Linked DNA regions of Drosophila melanogaster. The protein of the gene in region 3 interacts with the protein of the main gene of each other region in a pairwise test. Each region holds a gene or a part of one and is shown on either strand. Other genes may lie near its edges.

Region 1 (6,412 bases), on a different chromosome or scaffold from region 3:
ATCCCTGCCAATGGAACCCCTTCTTATTTGGGCTCTTGGCGTGAAGGTGTCGATGGAGGAGGTCAGCGAGTCCCGCTGCTGGAGAATGCCCTTCTGCGGAATGGCCAGCTTGCTGCGACTGTGGCGTCCACTCATATTGAACTGAACCGATGGGCGTGGCGAGTCATCCGTGGTCTGGTGGACGAGGTGACTGGTGTAACCCAGCGCGGAGGGCAGCTCAGGCAGTCGCGGCTCTGAGCCAAAGATCGATCTCCGTCGAGGACTGATCTGAGGCCTGCCGGCCGGCGATGAGGTAGTCGTCGATGTCGACTGAATGGAGGCGTGTCTTCCTCTGGTGGGAGCTTGTTGTGGAGGCCGAGGAGCAGAAGAAGCTGCCTGTCCCGTGGAAAGTATCGTGAAAGCAGTCTTTTTGTGTGGACGAGGTTGCTCCACTCTAGAGGGGACAGAAAAACTTGAATATATGTATTATCTTTATGGATATTTTCCACAGGATAACCTTACCTATAATCTCCGCCCATAGGTATTGAATCCCTGATGATAACTGGGGACATTTCCCGCTTTAAGCTATGTTCAGGCTCCACACTGCGGCTGTCATCCTGCTCCGTCAAGTCAGTTCTACGGAAAGGGGGCGGGTCTGCCGGTGGAGGTGGCATTCTATAGTCCTCCAGCGACTGCCTCTGGCTACCTCTCTCCAGACCCAACTGTTCCTCCAGATATTGCTTCGGTGAGAGTACAACGTCCCTGCTAACGGGCCTGCTTTGGTTGGGTGCCACTCGCTCCTCTCCGCCGCTGCTCGAGCTGTTCATGTCCTGGATCATGGTGGCCAGTGGGGAGAGAGGTCCTTCATCCTGCTTCATCGACATAATCATTTTGGAGCTGGGCCGCAATCGTGGGATGCGTGTGAACTCTGGAAAGTGCTGTGGCGCCGGACGGAACCAATCCCTTCCCGAATAGGAGTCACTGAGTAATCTAAGAGGAGGTAATCACGAAGGATTAGTTTGGATAATATATTGGTGTATTCAAATACCAACCCCCTGTGGTCCTCCGTCGTGATGCTGGACACACTCAACTTGGCGGGCGCTTGGCTAGGAGTCCTCGTCGGCTCATCTTCCTCATCATCGAAAGACATTCTCTGACCGACTACGGTGTACTCCTCGACCTCGTTCTCCAAATCATAAACGTCCGGCTTGTTCAGAATGTCATCGGGGGCCAGGAGCCGATAGTTAGGTGAGCCCAGTTGCTCTGAACTGGAGCCACCGCTCGAGTTGGGCAGAATCTGGATGTCGGGTGGCTGGAGATAAGGCAGTAGGGATCCTCGGGGAGTCCTCGAGTACGGGACACTCGGAAAGATGCGTTCCCTGGCCGCAGGAATAAGTGCGTTCAGCGCCATGGCGGCCACCAGCGCATCCTCCTCGGAGCTGGGCAGTTCCACAGACCCATTTCGCAACGTCTCAAATGCTGCTGTTCCGAAGTAATCATCCGGCTGCAGAGGCGGTGGAACCGGATCCCCAAAGAGGCTACTATACGGCTGGGCATCCGACTCCGAGGGCTGGCGCACAAAGCTCTGATTGGAGGCGAACGTGGAGGGTGCCATCGATTGGGCGGAGAGAATGGAGCGGGTGGTATGGGTGCGATAGCTATAATCAACCGGGATGATGGCCGGCTGGAACGCGGACTCGCCTCCAGTGGATCTGGGTCGTGGTATTGGGTTCGTACTTGGACGTATGTTCAGATTCGGTGTCAGATTCGGGTTCGGTGGCGGCGTCTGTGCGGCTGAGGCTGATGGCATGGGCATCGGGGATGGGGATGGCGATGATGATGAGTACGAGAGGGTCTGCTGCATGGCTTGACATGGGTGCTAACCGATCTTCGGCCCTCATGCATTCACTATGATTTCCTATCCATTGTTGCAGCGTTTTTGCGAAATTCAGTCGTGGTTGCAGTAGTTGGAAGCCGATTTCCACGCAGGACACTCCGCGTTCGTCCTTCGCTTTAGTTTAAGTGCCACAAAACCAATGACGCCAGGAGCTGTTTATTCGAAGCAACAGAATGTATTTAAAAATCACTCACAACACCCATGTGCGCACATCTTTTGATTCCACAGACAGACGACCAGCGAGACCTTCCGGCCCTCTTGCAATGTCAGAGAGACGTACACGCGACGCCTTCACCGGCGGAGAACGGATAACGGAACGAGGAGCACGGAGCACGGAGTAGGCAGTCCCAAAAACCGGAGAGCGAAACTGAAGGGCTGCCGGTTTCATTGCCAATTCGCAGTGATGGAAAAGGGTATTGAGTATGTTTACCTGGGCGAATTTTTAAAAATAATAATAAAAGTAATTTCTGTCTTCATACCAAGTAACTTTTTTCAAATATCCTAAATTTTTAATAGCTTGAGTAAAGTAATTTAAATTCATCAGCAATTAAAAAAAAGTAATTAGGTACAACTGCCCGGATACGTCCGCTTCCATCACTGGTTGTGGCAAAAATAGTAGAGTAATTATTACTGCACGGCTTTATTTTCTAATGCCATTTCACTCCACATTCAACTATAAATAGCTGCGTGCGAGGCGCTGATAAAGCCGCCCCGAAACCAAACCGATTTGAAATCGGAATCGTTATGGTATGCCATGCACCTGCTGCTATATGCGAATCCGAGTCGGACTCCCAACTCCCAAACGCTTGTCTTGGCGCTAACGAGAGCATAACTTGATGAGGAGGCCTCAAAGGCTTGAATGGGGGGAATGGGGATGGGGATTTGCTTTTGGGCGGATGGCTTCGGCTTGGCTGGCTGCACCGGCGTTGCATGTTGCAAATTGCCGCATTAGTGACTGCACTTGAAGTCGAACGACCCGGCAGATGTGGAAGCCAGCGGGCTGAGACTATCCTATCACCAGAAGAAGGCGATGGTTTAATTGGAGCTGTGCGGCTGGGTACGCAGATATTTTAGCGAAATGACGTAGCCCATGAAGGTTTTGGGGGGGAAGGTGGAGGAAAGGTGTGAATGAATGGCCTTTGTTCGCATTGATTTTCCTCTGCCTAATATTTAACCTACATTTTATGGCCCGCCGCTCGAATTTCGGTGACACACTTTGGGCCAAAAGGAAGTGACTTGGCCGGCTCCTTTTCGTTCCTTTCGTTTTGTTTTGGCCATGACGCGTTTTGGGGGAGTTGGCCGGCTCCCAGGCGGCTTAAGCTTCCTATTTGCGAATTGGTTTTTTAATCGCTTGCCGCATTACACGCAGTTTTCTTGCATCTCATTAACGCTCGGTCACACTTGAATAACGAATTTTAATACCTGCCACGTCCACACTGACTGTGTTAGTTTGGTCCTGGAGCGCATTATATAATTTACATTTGGGTTTTAAGTTTAGTCTAATTCGGAAATAGAATGTATTTGCTGAAAAGCCGCAACAAATAATGGAAACGCGACGAAACGTGGCCGCTGCCTAACTTAAACTGATGGCCGACCAGCGGTAAGTGAGCAAAATGGAGGCCTTCAAGAGAAATATTGCCTACACTTCAAATCCAAAACAGCACACAATGCCCCCCCCCCCCACACACACACACACTCGGTGCCCCAACAGTTTGCACACGCAGACCCGCTGAGATATCGAGACTGGCGAACTGAAAAGCCGAAAAGAAAAGGCGACCGGGGGCGCCAATTCGCCGCGACTTTTCCGCGAGTTTTCCGCATTTCGCCGCCTAGCGAGGCGGCTGCATTAGCCGTTTGCATGTCGTTGTGTTCATCTGTGCGGCGTGTGCTTCTTTCTCAGCTCTTTCTGCCTCTTAGACAACTTTTGATTGCTTCCCCCAGTTTCCCCCGGCTGGCTGTGACACCTGTTGGTATGTCTGTGGCACGCGATGTTCCAACACTTTTGTACTTCTACGCCGCACTGCCTGCCACCGAGAAGCTCAGTCAGCTAATTTTTCATACTTTTCGGGATGCCTCATAACTTTAATGCCACTTGTATCTATTGAATGCACGCATGTATTTCAATGAACACTTTCGCTCATTTCACTTTAATGCAGTTTTATGGAGTTGGAGATTGCACATAAGAGCTCTGATTGAACGTAATGATAGGTATTAATAAAAACTTTCCTTTACTGTGTTCAAAAAAATCAGTTTAAAATACGCCTATTGATTTAGTATTGAAAGTAAATATATCCTTATTTTAAGTGTTTGAATATTTTATCCGCTAGAATGTCAAAAAATAGTTATGCGTCGCCCAAAAATTAGGATCACTTAATCACTGTGTGAAAGGTGTCTCTGCCCATAAATATTGCAAAAGGCTTCGGCAGAAGGACGCTTTTCCTGCACTCGACTGAGTGAGTATAAGACCCTCGGCGAGTACACTGCACTTTCCTTGGCTTTGGAATAGGGTCAAAACCGCAACAAATTCCGCGTTGCCTTGTGCAGCGGCTAGGAGTCAACAACACTTGGCCCGCAGCTACGAACTCCTTGGCCAGCCGGGCACTGTTGCAACATCAAGACAACAACGGCAGTGGCAGCAATAACGCCTAAAGACAGGTATGTGTGCAAACACAGACCACCCAAACCAAAGCCACGAATCCCTCGGAACGGGGGGACTTTTAAGTGGCAGTGCCGGAGAAATCCTTGGCTAATGTCGTGTTAGCCCCCAAAAACCCGCCCCTTGTGGGGTCCAACTCGAACCCCCAGTGGAGTCACACGGAGTCACAAGTCGGGGAATTCCTAGAGACATCTACGAGTTAATTGTTTTGGGCTTTTTCACTACACAACCGAGTTGGAAGTTTTTAATGTTTGCGATATATCCGACGATTTCTATCCGATTTTAGGCAGTTTGGTTTTAATTTTTAATGCACCGTTACTTGTAGAGTTATTGTCATAAAAAAAAAGGTGAGAGATTTTCAAATAAAAAACTGAATACCCAAAAAATTCAACGCGCATTTGCATCGATCCGATGCACTGCACTCGCCGTTCGTAGAAAAACTAATCCGCCGTGGGCAAATACCTTCTTATACATCGTCCTGCGCCGTGGAGCTCCACGGCAACTGACCAGTCGGGTTTAGGTGAAGAAACCACCGAAGAAAGCCGAAGTCCACGTTTGGCCAGCCACACGGGTATACGTGGGTCAGTAAACCTACTTCCGGTTGACATAAATACGCCTTGGACATGAAAACTTGGCACTGGCGGCGCGCCGCAAGTTGTTTTTATTGTTTCTAACCTCTTTTTTTTTTGCGCCATGACTCAAGACAGGTGGACAGCGTGGAGTCCACGAGTGCAGGTGTGCAGATGCAGATCTGATTCCCCCAATTGAAGGGGCTTCGATTAGCCGAGCCCAAACTCTTTGGCGGATTCACTTGATCTGGTTGAGAGAGCGCAGCAATCTAATCTCGACTTTGGGCTTGGCTAATCAAAATTCGGGAATAGTGCTGACCCTAATCTAGTGTGCCAAGCCCATGGATGAAAATTCATATAATTCAAAACTGCACCTTTGCTCACTGGGAGCGGTTGGGTAATTTTATTCGCTTGCAATAAGATTTTCCCACGCGATATGTGGCTCATCTGCTGGTCAGTTTTGTCCTTTTGCCATATAATTTGGTATCCTTGGAAGGGAATGGAGTCTACATCATGGGTTGACCCACATCGGGCACAAATTAATATCAATTGTGGCTGGCAGATTGCGTGTGCGAATATGCGGAGGGCTGGAGTAACAGCTGGACGAAGGCATGGGCATGGGATTGAAAGGCATTCAATTGTAATTGGCTGTGACCGAGGATTACACAATGACTAAGCGGTGCTCCCTGGCGAAATTAAGTCATAATTATTATGATGTGTATAGGCTTGTAAATAGCCGAGCTCGGTAATAAAGGTCACATTTTGTAGGGCACAGTCTGGGATCCTACGGTCCCGATACTCTGACCTCTTTACCGGGCTGCTAATAATGTAATTGTAATGAATGAATTAGTGGGGAACTCCAAGGGAGAGCTGTACTTCGTTGGAAATTAAGGCATTTAGACAATAAAGACTTATTTAGAACGAATGTCTTTATAAGCAACTACAAGGTACTAGCAATTTTAAGGATGGTGGGATGCTTCTAGTTCTCCACTTCATGTTTATACAATACGGCTAGGTTCATCTCAATCGTGTTCACCTGATCCTGCAGATAGTCGATATCGTGCTCATGTTGCAATTGCTGCTTCACCAGGCTGGTGATGTCCTTTTTGATGAACTCCTCCGCCTCGGACAGCTCGAATTCCATTTGCAGAGATGCGCCCACTTGAAGGGTAACCTTTTGCACTGGCGGTATGCTCACCCATCTGAATACTCCCTGTGCGATTTGCACGAGGCTGTGAACTTCCTTGTCAGGATTGTCTATGAACCTCCTCACCAATTCCAAATTATTTTTGGCAGCCTCCAAACGGGTTA
Region 2 (6,121 bases), on a different chromosome or scaffold from region 3:
GTATGTTTTTTGCCTTCTGTTTGTTTAAGAAGCGCAAACAGTCAACTCGGCAATGGTATGGGTATGGTATATCCAAGGGGGCGGGCTGTATCTGTGTGGATTAGTGGGCGTGGTGGGGTTGAGCATGCCTTTGTGCGCTTATTACACGCATTTTTGACTTTAATCCTCCGAAGTGCTGGCGAACAAAGCCGAAATAACAAAAGGTTTACATCGCTGCCTGTTGGTTTTCAGCTTATCGCATCAGCGACACTCACACACGGACCTCATGTGCATGTGGGAGGGTCGGAAAAAGAAGGCGGAAAATGGGAAACCCCCCCCCAAAAGCAAGCTGCAAATGAAAATCTTAATTATACATGACACCAGCAGAAGTGAGAGAAAGCCACCGCCAGTGATTGAGAGCCATTCTCTGTAAAAGTGTATTCGCAGTCGTGTCTGTGGTTGTAAATTGTCGCCATCTTTCACTCAATTATGGCAGTCACACACACACACACACTCTGTGTAGGTGCCACAACAATGGCTGATGAATTAATTTAATTAAAATCCTTTCATTTCTCTGGTTACCCTTCACGTTCGTCCACCATTTCCTTGCATTCCCAGCGGGTATTTATAGTATCTTATTGTTACCGAAAACATTATTATTGTGTGGAAAACTGGCAAGCCATTAAGATTGATCGGTATCTCGGCACATAATCCGAATTTTAAAGTTTAATCTTTAATTCTTGGCGATTTGCTTTGTAAGCAACTTATAATTTGCTCTGATAGCCATAAGCTAAGTGTATAGAAAGGCTTACTGTGACTGTTATGAAAGTAAGAGCTCTCCATAAATGTCCAAGCATACAGCTAGTATGAAAAACTCTTTGGGGGAATGAAGACCTCGGCATGGCACCCAGGCAACTATCCAATTAACCCGGCTAGTGTGAAAATCGCTCGAGGCAGCAAAAGAGCGCGACACATGAAAGAGTGAAGAGGGGGGAGTGGGGAAAAGGGGAGAATGTCAGGACAGGATGGGGACCGGGCTGAGGACTCACCTGAGCTGTCGCTCCTGCTCGAAGCGCGGAATCCAGACGGGCAATGTGAGCTGTTCGCGTGTGGCGTGCTTCAGAAAGTAAACCATAGCCCGGACATTCTCGTGCTGCGAACAAAGGACATACATGGGTGTCTATTCCACGGGGCCAGGAATAGGGTCTTTCTGCCAGTCTCACCTGATCCTGAAAGTCACTGCGCCAGCCGGCGATGAAGTGCGGAGCATGTGGTCCAAACAGGGCGCCCAGGAAAATGCGCTCATATGTCTTCTCGCACTCGTAAATGGCCACTGAATTGCACAAAAAGGGGATAAATTAGTCATGGGAACAGGAAAATAGTTAAAAGTTAATTTATATAAAACAAGCCACGTTTAATAACATTTCGAAGTGGGTAATGCCATAAACCAAATTTGTATACACATTGTGACCGATTTTCCCGCGATGCAGGCAAATTGTCGGTAGTGGAGAAAGCGGTTAAATAATGTCATCAAATCGCAGCAGCGCAGCCATAAAAAAGCTAATTACGTGGCTGCACTTGTTGCTGCTTTGGTTTTTTGGCTTTCGGTTTCGTTGGCTTTTTGGCACAGCCCAGAAATGAAGTCAGCGGAAAACGGAAACGGCCACAATGTTTGCCAAACCAAGGCCAGCGGGTCCAAAAGGCTGGAGTCAGCAACAAAGCAACTTGGTGAGTGAGGACAGGACAAACAAGGAGCAAGTTTTATTGCACACGAGTCCAGATTCCCTGACAGAGGCATGCCATTAATTCCAGGCACTTTTCCTGCTCGCAAAAGTTTACGCAGCCTTTTAATTAGAGGCAGCCAACATGCGTACGCCCCAAATAACTTGCAACACTTTGAGGCACTTTACAAGTTTTACGATGCAGCAACAACAGAGCAACAGAACGACATCAGCAACACTTTCTTAACGCAATTAGCAGAAACACGTGATTAAAGTGAAAACTGCCTGCTTATGGGCGTAATAATCCGATGCGATGGGATGATATTTATTAAAGTATGCAAAGCACACAGCCACGCCCAAAAAGCAAACAGGAAAGTCTTGCCACACACACACGCACACTCACTCGCATACGCTTACGCACACATACGCATACATATGCATTTAAATTAAATTATTTAGTTGGCCCGACTCCACTTACCCAGCAGCTTGACGACCACCTCCGAGTCCCGGACTCCCCAATCCCAGCAGGTGCGCAGTCCGATGTACAGGATGTTGTGATACTTGCCCATGAGGCAGACCTGGGGAATACGCATGGAATGGAGGGTGTGGTGAAGGGGCTGAATCCCAACTGAAGTGCTACTTTTTAAATTATAAATAATTGCCATATGAAGAGATGGCATTTAAAATGGAAGAAAATTAAGTTTAGCAGACTCTGCCAAAGGAAATTAAGCCCGAAACAACTTTCCATATTTATTTACACTCTAAAAGGTCAATTGGATCGCAGCAGCAGGATATACATATTTATGCATAGTTTTAGTACTTTTCTAACCGTTTTCTAGAAAGCTTTATTAAATTCCACTTTTATTCGACTCAAAAGCAAAGCAATGTTATTTGGCTAATTAATCATTGGTTTCCATTCATAAGGCTTGGTTTAAACATTAACATTTATTTAATACGACAACGAAATAGACTGACTTGGCTTTTGTTCTAATTATTTATTTCGTTTTTTTAAGTACCGGAAACTAATTGTCAAATCATTATTAATTAAGTTGAGCTTTGCTAAAGCCCAGTGCTAGTTTGTATGGACTCTTTTAAGTAAATATTTATTCATATTAACTATTGAAGTTTGGCACACAGAAATGCCACATTGGCAACACTCGATTTGTACATAAAGCTCACCTGGCCGTTCTGCTCCTTGGCCATTCGGTGGTACCTCATGGCCGCCGTCACCGCGATGGCGGCCACCTCATCCGTCTGCGAGTTCTGGCCGCCGCTGCAGCCCTTGATGATGGAGCTCAGGTGGTCGAGGACATCTCGCCGCGACTGGCGGTCCTGCAGTCCGTTGCGGGAGATCTGCTCGAAGGTGTCGTCGAAGAAGCACTCGAAGATGTAGTCCATGACCAGATGGCGGCGCTGGGTTCGCCGGTTCCGCTGGTGACTGGCCCTATTGGCAGGATTCCGACGCAGTTGTTCCCGCACCCGCAGACGCAGCCGTGCCCGTGACTCAGTTTCCCGGCGGAAACCGTAGAAATGCCGTGGAAATGGCAACCAGCAGCGAACCCACACAAATTGGCTTTTTAATTGACTTACCAGCCGCTGGAAAGCCTGTAGCAACTGCGAAAGCATATTGCAAACAAAATTTAATTCACTTTAAGTAGGCAAATATTTTCGATTGAGCTGAATTGATGATTCCCTCCAAAGAATTGAAATTCCGCTTCAAAAAAACTCCCGCACCGCTGAAGCCAAAGAGTCGCAATACACAAAAAAGAGAGAATTTCTTTTGCGGGGGTGACTCTCTTGCGCTATCGATTTTTTGCAGCTGGCAATGATGTGCTGGGAGAACTTTTGATAAACATAAACAACTCATAATGAGCATGCGGAATATTCATTTTAATATTTTTAAGCATTGCAATCATATAAGAAAATAATTACATAGTATGTAAAGCTTATTCAAAAGCTGATATACAGTTCAATTACTTTTTAGGCCTCTTTATTTCCGTGAAGCTCCCAGCAAAGCAATTGGCAAACAGGTGTTTGATTACCAGCCGACAAGTATATTTCTATGAGCTCTTCAAAAACCGAATGGAACTCGAGGACTCCATTGAAACTGATTCGATTCGATTCAATTCGATTGGTTTTTGCTAAACAGTCTATTGCACTTTGAAATTTGCTGGCATTTTTCCGAACCATTTATTCACTGCACGCAGCGCACTCACACAATTTTCCACCCCACTCATCAGCTGCCGCTGGAAAACTAAACAAACGAAGTCCAATTTCTAAGAACGCTCAGCTGTTTACCTAAGCGCTCACTCTCCCGCTTTCTCTCCACTCTCTCTTTGTACAGAGAGTAGCGGAGGTATTAAATACGCGTTTCATGAGCATAAAGCTAAATTAGATTCTAAATTGGAATTTTCAATTTAAAATATATAGTACATATGTATGCTCTCACATTATTTTTGTGCTAAATGGGTAATGTTTGGCGATAAGCATAAAATCAAATGGCGCATAAAAACGCAGGTTTTTGTGATTTTGCAATATTAAACTGAAAAATAATTGGTTTGTCATTATAAGGATTATGCTTGATTCAACAAAAATATATTTATTTCGAAATAAATACTGATGGTGTGCTGTTTAATGTTTCAGTGCTTTTTTCGGTTTAAATCATTAATGAATTTGATTTTACAACGGAAAACTGAAAACTAATACAAAGTCACTCGATACTTCATTCCAGAGTGAAACCGATATTATCATAAAGCGAACCGCTTTAAGCTATCTTTTTAGAGATTTACTAATCCCCCTTCAATGAATCCATTACATTTTCAAGGGGATCATTTTGAAATAAATATTGCAACAAATATTCATATACACGGATTTAAATCTGTAAACAATAGGAGTGTTTTCTCGAGCTTTAGCCACGTCAAATGTATTTTAAAACACGACTCCAATTGTCATGTAAATTTCTCAGCTACAAAATAAATTCATATTTTAAATAGCAATTGTGCACATTGTTTACATGTTTTTCTATCACCCTTTGCCAATTAATATTTGTTTATGCGGGACATATCAATTTTCCCATACATTATTCAGGCCCACTCATTCCATTATTCGCCGTATTTGCACGTTTAATATTTGGGCTGACAATTAAGCGCTGGGTAAATATTTAAGCACTGCCATAAACATTAATTAAGAACGCACACCAAGGGATCCAGAGATGATGACTGGGATAATCATGTCTGGTAGGGATTCCTCGGGTCCTTCGCCTTAATCGCATATGCAAATAAGTGTCGAAGGACATTCGGCACAGTGTAATTAACTCAGGTCCATTAAAACGGTGCATATTTGTGCTGGTTACCCAGGACAACATGGCAATATTTTCACCTGAACAGGCTCACCTGAGCGCTAATTAAAAGGGCAATGCAATTGTGGCCATATGCAGGCTATCCGATGCCGCAAAGGTAGCGAATTAATTGAATTAAATTCGTATCCAATCAGCGGCGTATTGGCCGTAAATATATGAGTCCGAATAAATGCAACAATGTGTGGTTGCACTGTGGTCGAGCCAAGCGGAAGCGGAAATGCACACAAGCCTGGCGAAATTTTTATTTCGCTTCCGTTTTATGCTGCACTCGATTGTGCGGGCACATGGAGCACAATAACCGAATTTACATAATTTCTGGCGATGCAATCTAATAGCTGAATAAGGGGTCTCCCACTGTGGAAATTACGATGGCAATTTATTGGTGTGCAGATTGAGAAAAAAAAACGACCCCCGAGATATACATCATTCAGAGTGCATTATGGCATCAGACCAAGTCCACAACGGAACTCCCTAACTCGAATTTATGTGACTGCCAAAGGAGTCACATCTCAAATGTTAAGCACTACTATTCTTTGCTTACTGAATTTGCTTGCATCTTAAAGATATAGCTTATACATAACGTTCTGTCTTTATTTCTCTTCGTAAGTGATATTAAAACTCGGTGATTACTTTGTAATTTTGGATAGAATTATTTACTGCGCTACTCTACTTAAGAAAGTTTTATTTACGAAATTTCAGTTTACACTATACTAAACCCCAAAGAAGAATAACAGTTGAGTTTACACAGTGCCTTCCGCCCTGAAACTTATGGCATCTGCCCCTTTTTCCTTTCCTTTTTGCAGGCTCCTCTGTATGGCGATCAACCAGGATGATTCGTTCCACTTGGAGTACCGCGGACCCGTTATCATGAAGGGCAAACCGACGCCCATGGACTGTTGGTTCCTGACGCGTGCCACAAGCAGCATTTTGGGAGGCACTTCCTCGACCGGAGGCAGTGGCGGCGGAGGAAACGGGAGCTTGGATTCGCCGCTGCTGCAGCCAGCCACTCCGACCGCTGGCGCGGCCACGCCCATTCCCGTAGTCGCCCAGCGGGCAGCAGGAC
Region 3 (4,319 bases):
CTTGCAACATGAGGTGCCACCGTGCAACAACATCAGCGGAATCACCAACATTAGTAACAACAATGTCAGCAACCTTAGCTGCAATGACACGCCGAACAACAGCCTCTTGGTGATGAGTCCTAGCAAGCAACTGCTCACTGGAAGCCACAGCATCTCCATTATTAACAACAGCTTCGATAAGGCGAGCAATAACAATCAGAGCGAGTTCCTGACCAAGAAGAACCTATTCCGGGAACGCAATTCAACTGTGATCAATGGTATTATGAAGAATATCCAGCAAACCGATAGTGCCTATAAGAAGTACGAGAACGAAGCGAACCGGCTGAACAACTATTACAGTCAGTCGCCGAAACATCAGATCCATCAGCCCATTCAGCCAACGCCGGAAGTCCTTTTGAGTCCCAAAAAAACGCTAAATGCCTCTGGGTTTGATTTCACGCCCGCTCCCCTCAGTTCCACCCCGGTTAAGTGTGATGTCCCGCCGGAACCGGAGCCACTGAGTCCGGTAAAGAAACCCGCTGCGGCACCACCACCGCCTCCTCCACCGCCACCGCCGCCACCACCACCACCTGGTTGGTGGCACGCCCCCATCTACAACAGCCCGCAAGCTCGAACCCTAACCAGTACTAACCCAGAGCTGCTGCCGCATCCTGTGGATCCTTCAGGTGGGTCTCAACCTAAACCTTAACTCCATTCCATTCACCTGTCTCTCACCTGTGTGTTGCATACTCGCGAGCGCCGCCAATACATTCACATTGCATTGCGCATCTGCCGCTGCATACTTTTGAGAGTTAAGATTTGATGAATGGGCTTAACGTTACGTTTGTTATGTATCACAGATATGGAAAGCGAGGATCAGCAGCTGCTCCTCCAGCTGAAGCGGGACCACACGGTCAAGGATCTCACCCAGAAGTTGAGCAACCTGCCAATGAGTCCCACTCAGGATTCGGCGAATCGCGCCCTCGTCGGCGATATGTCCGGTCTGATTTCGAAAGCCAAAGAGGGTCTGGCCAAGAGCAAGAGCAAGGGAGAGATATCCAGGTAAGAAAAGTAGAAGTCTTTTGATAAAACCCACTAAACCTATAGGCTTAGGCTATACTCTCGAAGTTACCCAGTGGCGTTAGTCGTTTACCATCTTTCTGGGAATCAAGCTTTTAAGTTAGGTTAGGAAACTTTTTTATAGCTCTTCCATATCAAAATCAATTGAATGCCACTAACTATCAATAAATGTTCACTCTGCTAACCCCTTGAGATTACAGAAAATGATAGATGTTTTACAAGCAAAGATTTACGAGAATATATGGCGCCACCAGTTGAAGATAAGAAATCCGTCTAAGCTATTAATGATAAGCGGTGTCATGCTTTCCGGTTATCTGATATAAGGTGTTTTACGACCTTGGGTTCATAATCTGTGAACCAATAAAACAGAATTGAAAGAAGCTCCTTCCAAATAGACAATCACTTAGTTCACAGATGGTCAAGATTTATTGGTTGGTATCAGAGTGGGCCATAAACTGTAGCTTATCCGTAGATGGGGTTGTACTTCTCGTACAGGGCGACGTAGGCGGCCTTGGCGTCATCGACGGACAGTCCCTTGCGGCTCAGCCAGGCATCGTACTTAGCGGCACCCTCGGCATCAGCGGGCTTCTCGATGTTAATGTCGCCCTCCTGGAACTGCTTGTACAGGCCATAGAACTCCAGGTACACCTCCGTTGGGGGCTTCTTGCTGAAGGCCTTGGTCTTCTCGAGGATAGCGTTGAACTGTAAATAATGGCAAATGGGAGTTAGAGAGTTCTGTGTTCCGATCTTTACAATCATCAACTTACATCGGCCATATTGCTTGAGTTATGCTTGACAAATGTGACTTGTCCCTCTCAGTGCGCCGTCTTTATACCTCCCGAAAATCGGGAAGTTCTAGTTAACAACGCTTATCTGTATATAGAAATCGATAATGGTTGCCACTGCAAGCCGATAATGTGTGAGTCCATTGTGCAAATTTATTAGATTAGATTTATGTACCAGTTTCATAAGAGTTCAGGTTTTTGCCCAGCCTGACATCGTCATCGGCTTTCTCGAATCCCTAGAAAGTAGTTTGCCGCCACCCTCGTTGACTGATTTTTGATTACTTATCATATTTATGTACATACAAAGTGGTGCTAGGCGTTAGTCTATCAAAGATAAGGTCAGACTAATCATTTATGGCCACCATTTACACGATAAAAGCTATAATTGTAGTGGCATAAACTTTTTCCTTTACAGATCTTCTAGTGTCGATCAGGATGTAAAGAAGTCTGAGCCCAAGAAGTCGGAAAATGAACTTCACTGGGAGGAACTGGTTAGGAATATGACAAGGCCCCTAAATCTTTGCGATCTGGACTTTACGGATCTGAGGGATGATGACGAGAAGGATGTGCTGGCCCCTCGAAGTTTGGGTGCCGGTATACCCCCGCCGCCTCCCCCGCTGGGTGGAGCCATTGCCCCACCGCCAATGATGCCTCCAAGCTTGGCACCACCACCCATGTACGGATATGGCGGTAGTCTAACCAATAGTGTCAATTCGTTAAATGGTTCTATAAATGGTGAACTGGTCAATGGTAATAACACCATCAAAAAGAACAAGAAAACGGTTAGTCTCATCATTGTTTAATATAAAGAATGAGAATTTACATATTGCATTTGATACACCCTAAGGTCAAGCTCTTCTGGAAGGAAGTGCGCGAGGACATGATACCGCAGGTGGTGGGCAAGACCATATGGGATGAGCTGCCCGATGCCAACGTGGACACACAGAAGCTCGAACATCTCTTTGAGTCCCGGGCCAAAGACTTGATGACCAAGGTTCGTATGCTCTAACCAATAACACTTTTCCTCATATAACACCCAATTGGTCAAAGGTTCTCGAAATTCAATGGATCTACGATAAATTGTGATTAAATTAGTCATAGGCTCTTCTTTAAGTGTGTGATGCGTTAACAAAATGCGAATGATTTTTGTATTCTTCTTTCCCCTTCTATTTATGGATATATTATATAATTCTTAATACCTAAATGTCGAACGGTCTGTTTGCGGATAAATCTACATAAATGTTGTGCTAAACTCAAACCAAAATGCAAATAATTCTCAAATATTCAAATGTTTTCCAATGTCTCTAGGAGGTGAGTGCCAATCAAAACGTTATTAAATTTGTTTGTCTTTTTGTCTCTCTATCTCTCTACAAACATATGTCGCACCATAACTCACGATCTATTGCCCATTATGTTTTGTGTTTTGGTGTTGGTTAATATAACTATTTTCATATACACTCTATCACACCCACGTACACTTGAAGAAATGATTTAGTTGCTAACAGTACAGAACAGCACAGAAACTCCAATCCAATTCCGCACTTTGCACCCTACACTCTCGTTTTCTCTTTGCACCACTGTGTTCTTATCTCTGACCGATCGCAGCCTGATCGAAAGGTATTAACCCTTTCCCGCTGACCTTGCAGAAACAACAAGAGCTGAACAAGAGCAAAGAGATCATCGTGCTTGATCACAAGCGCTCCAATGCCATCAATATTGCGATCACTAAGCTGCCTCCTCCGAGGGCCATTAAGACGGCCATCCTCAAAATGGATGCCACTGTGGTCACACGGGAGGGAATCGACAAGCTACTCAATATGCTGCCCACTGATGAGGAGCGTGGCAAGATCCAGGAGGCCCAGTTATCCAACCCAGAGTTGCCCCTGGGCAGCGCCGAGCAGTTCCTTTTGACCCTGGCCTCCATTTCGGAGCTGGAAGCTCGCCTGAAATTGTGGGCTTTCCGTCTGGACTTTGACAACAGTGAGGTAAGTTATAACGCTAAAGATTAGAAAACATACAAAAGTTAATTCTTACATGGCCATCATCTTTTTTAAACTACAGAAAGAGATTGCGGAACCGCTGATGGACCTCAAGCAAGGCATTGAGATCCTGCGTCAGAATCGCACCTTCCGCAGCATCCTCTCTACTCTGCTGTCTGTGGGCATCTTTTTGAATGGAGCTCCCGTCAAGGGATTCCAGATCGAGTATCTGGCAAAGGTTCCGGAAGTGAAGGACACGGTGCACAAGCACTCGCTGCTGCACCACCTCTGCCACATGGTCATGGAGTCGAGCAGTGATACTAGTGATCTGTACTCCGAGATCGGACCCATTACGCGAGCCTCCAAGGCGGATTTCACGGACTTGGCACACAATCTCAATCAGTTGGAGGCGGAGTGCAAGGCATGCTGGGATCGTCTGAAACTTATTGCCAAACACGACTGCCCGCCACCGTTAAAGCAGAAGCTGGTGGATTTC

What was found.
Region 1: the proteins of Acbp5 (region 3) and stum interact in a two-hybrid assay, tested with the Drosophila melanogaster proteins (one large-scale study listed by BioGRID).
Region 2: the proteins of Acbp5 (region 3) and stops interact in a two-hybrid assay, tested with the Drosophila melanogaster proteins (one large-scale study listed by BioGRID).

Annotation. Positions count from the first base shown.
Region 1 is NT_033778.4:21,671,946-21,678,357, reverse strand, and holds the start of stum (stumble), read right to left. Parts: upstream 3,458-6,412; 5' UTR 3,056-3,457; intron 2,285-3,055; exon of another isoform or gene 2,029-2,284; 5' UTR 1,844-2,028; coding exon 1,032-1,843; intron 970-1,031; coding exon 502-969; intron 434-501; coding exon 1-433. Other genes in the region: CG15676 (uncharacterized protein), read right to left, coding at 6,081-6,412.
Region 2 is NT_033777.3:31,165,148-31,171,268, forward strand, and holds the start of stops (slow termination of phototransduction), read right to left. Parts: upstream 3,458-6,121; 5' UTR 3,327-3,457; coding exon 2,880-3,326; intron 2,279-2,879; coding exon 2,179-2,278; intron 1,313-2,178; coding exon 1,203-1,312; intron 1,133-1,202; coding exon 1,029-1,132; intron 1-1,028. Other genes in the region: Gycbeta100B (guanylyl cyclase beta-subunit at 100B), read left to right, coding at 5,862-6,121.
Region 3 is NT_037436.4:8,786,680-8,790,998, forward strand, and holds Acbp5 (Acyl-CoA binding protein 5), read right to left. Parts: upstream 1,867-4,319; 5' UTR 1,836-1,866; coding exon 1,827-1,835; intron 1,762-1,826; coding exon 1,522-1,761; 3' UTR 1,465-1,521; downstream 1-1,464. Other genes in the region: Fhos (formin homology 2 domain containing), read left to right, coding at 1-665, 840-1,041, 2,260-2,626, 2,692-2,838, 3,491-3,829, 3,906-4,319.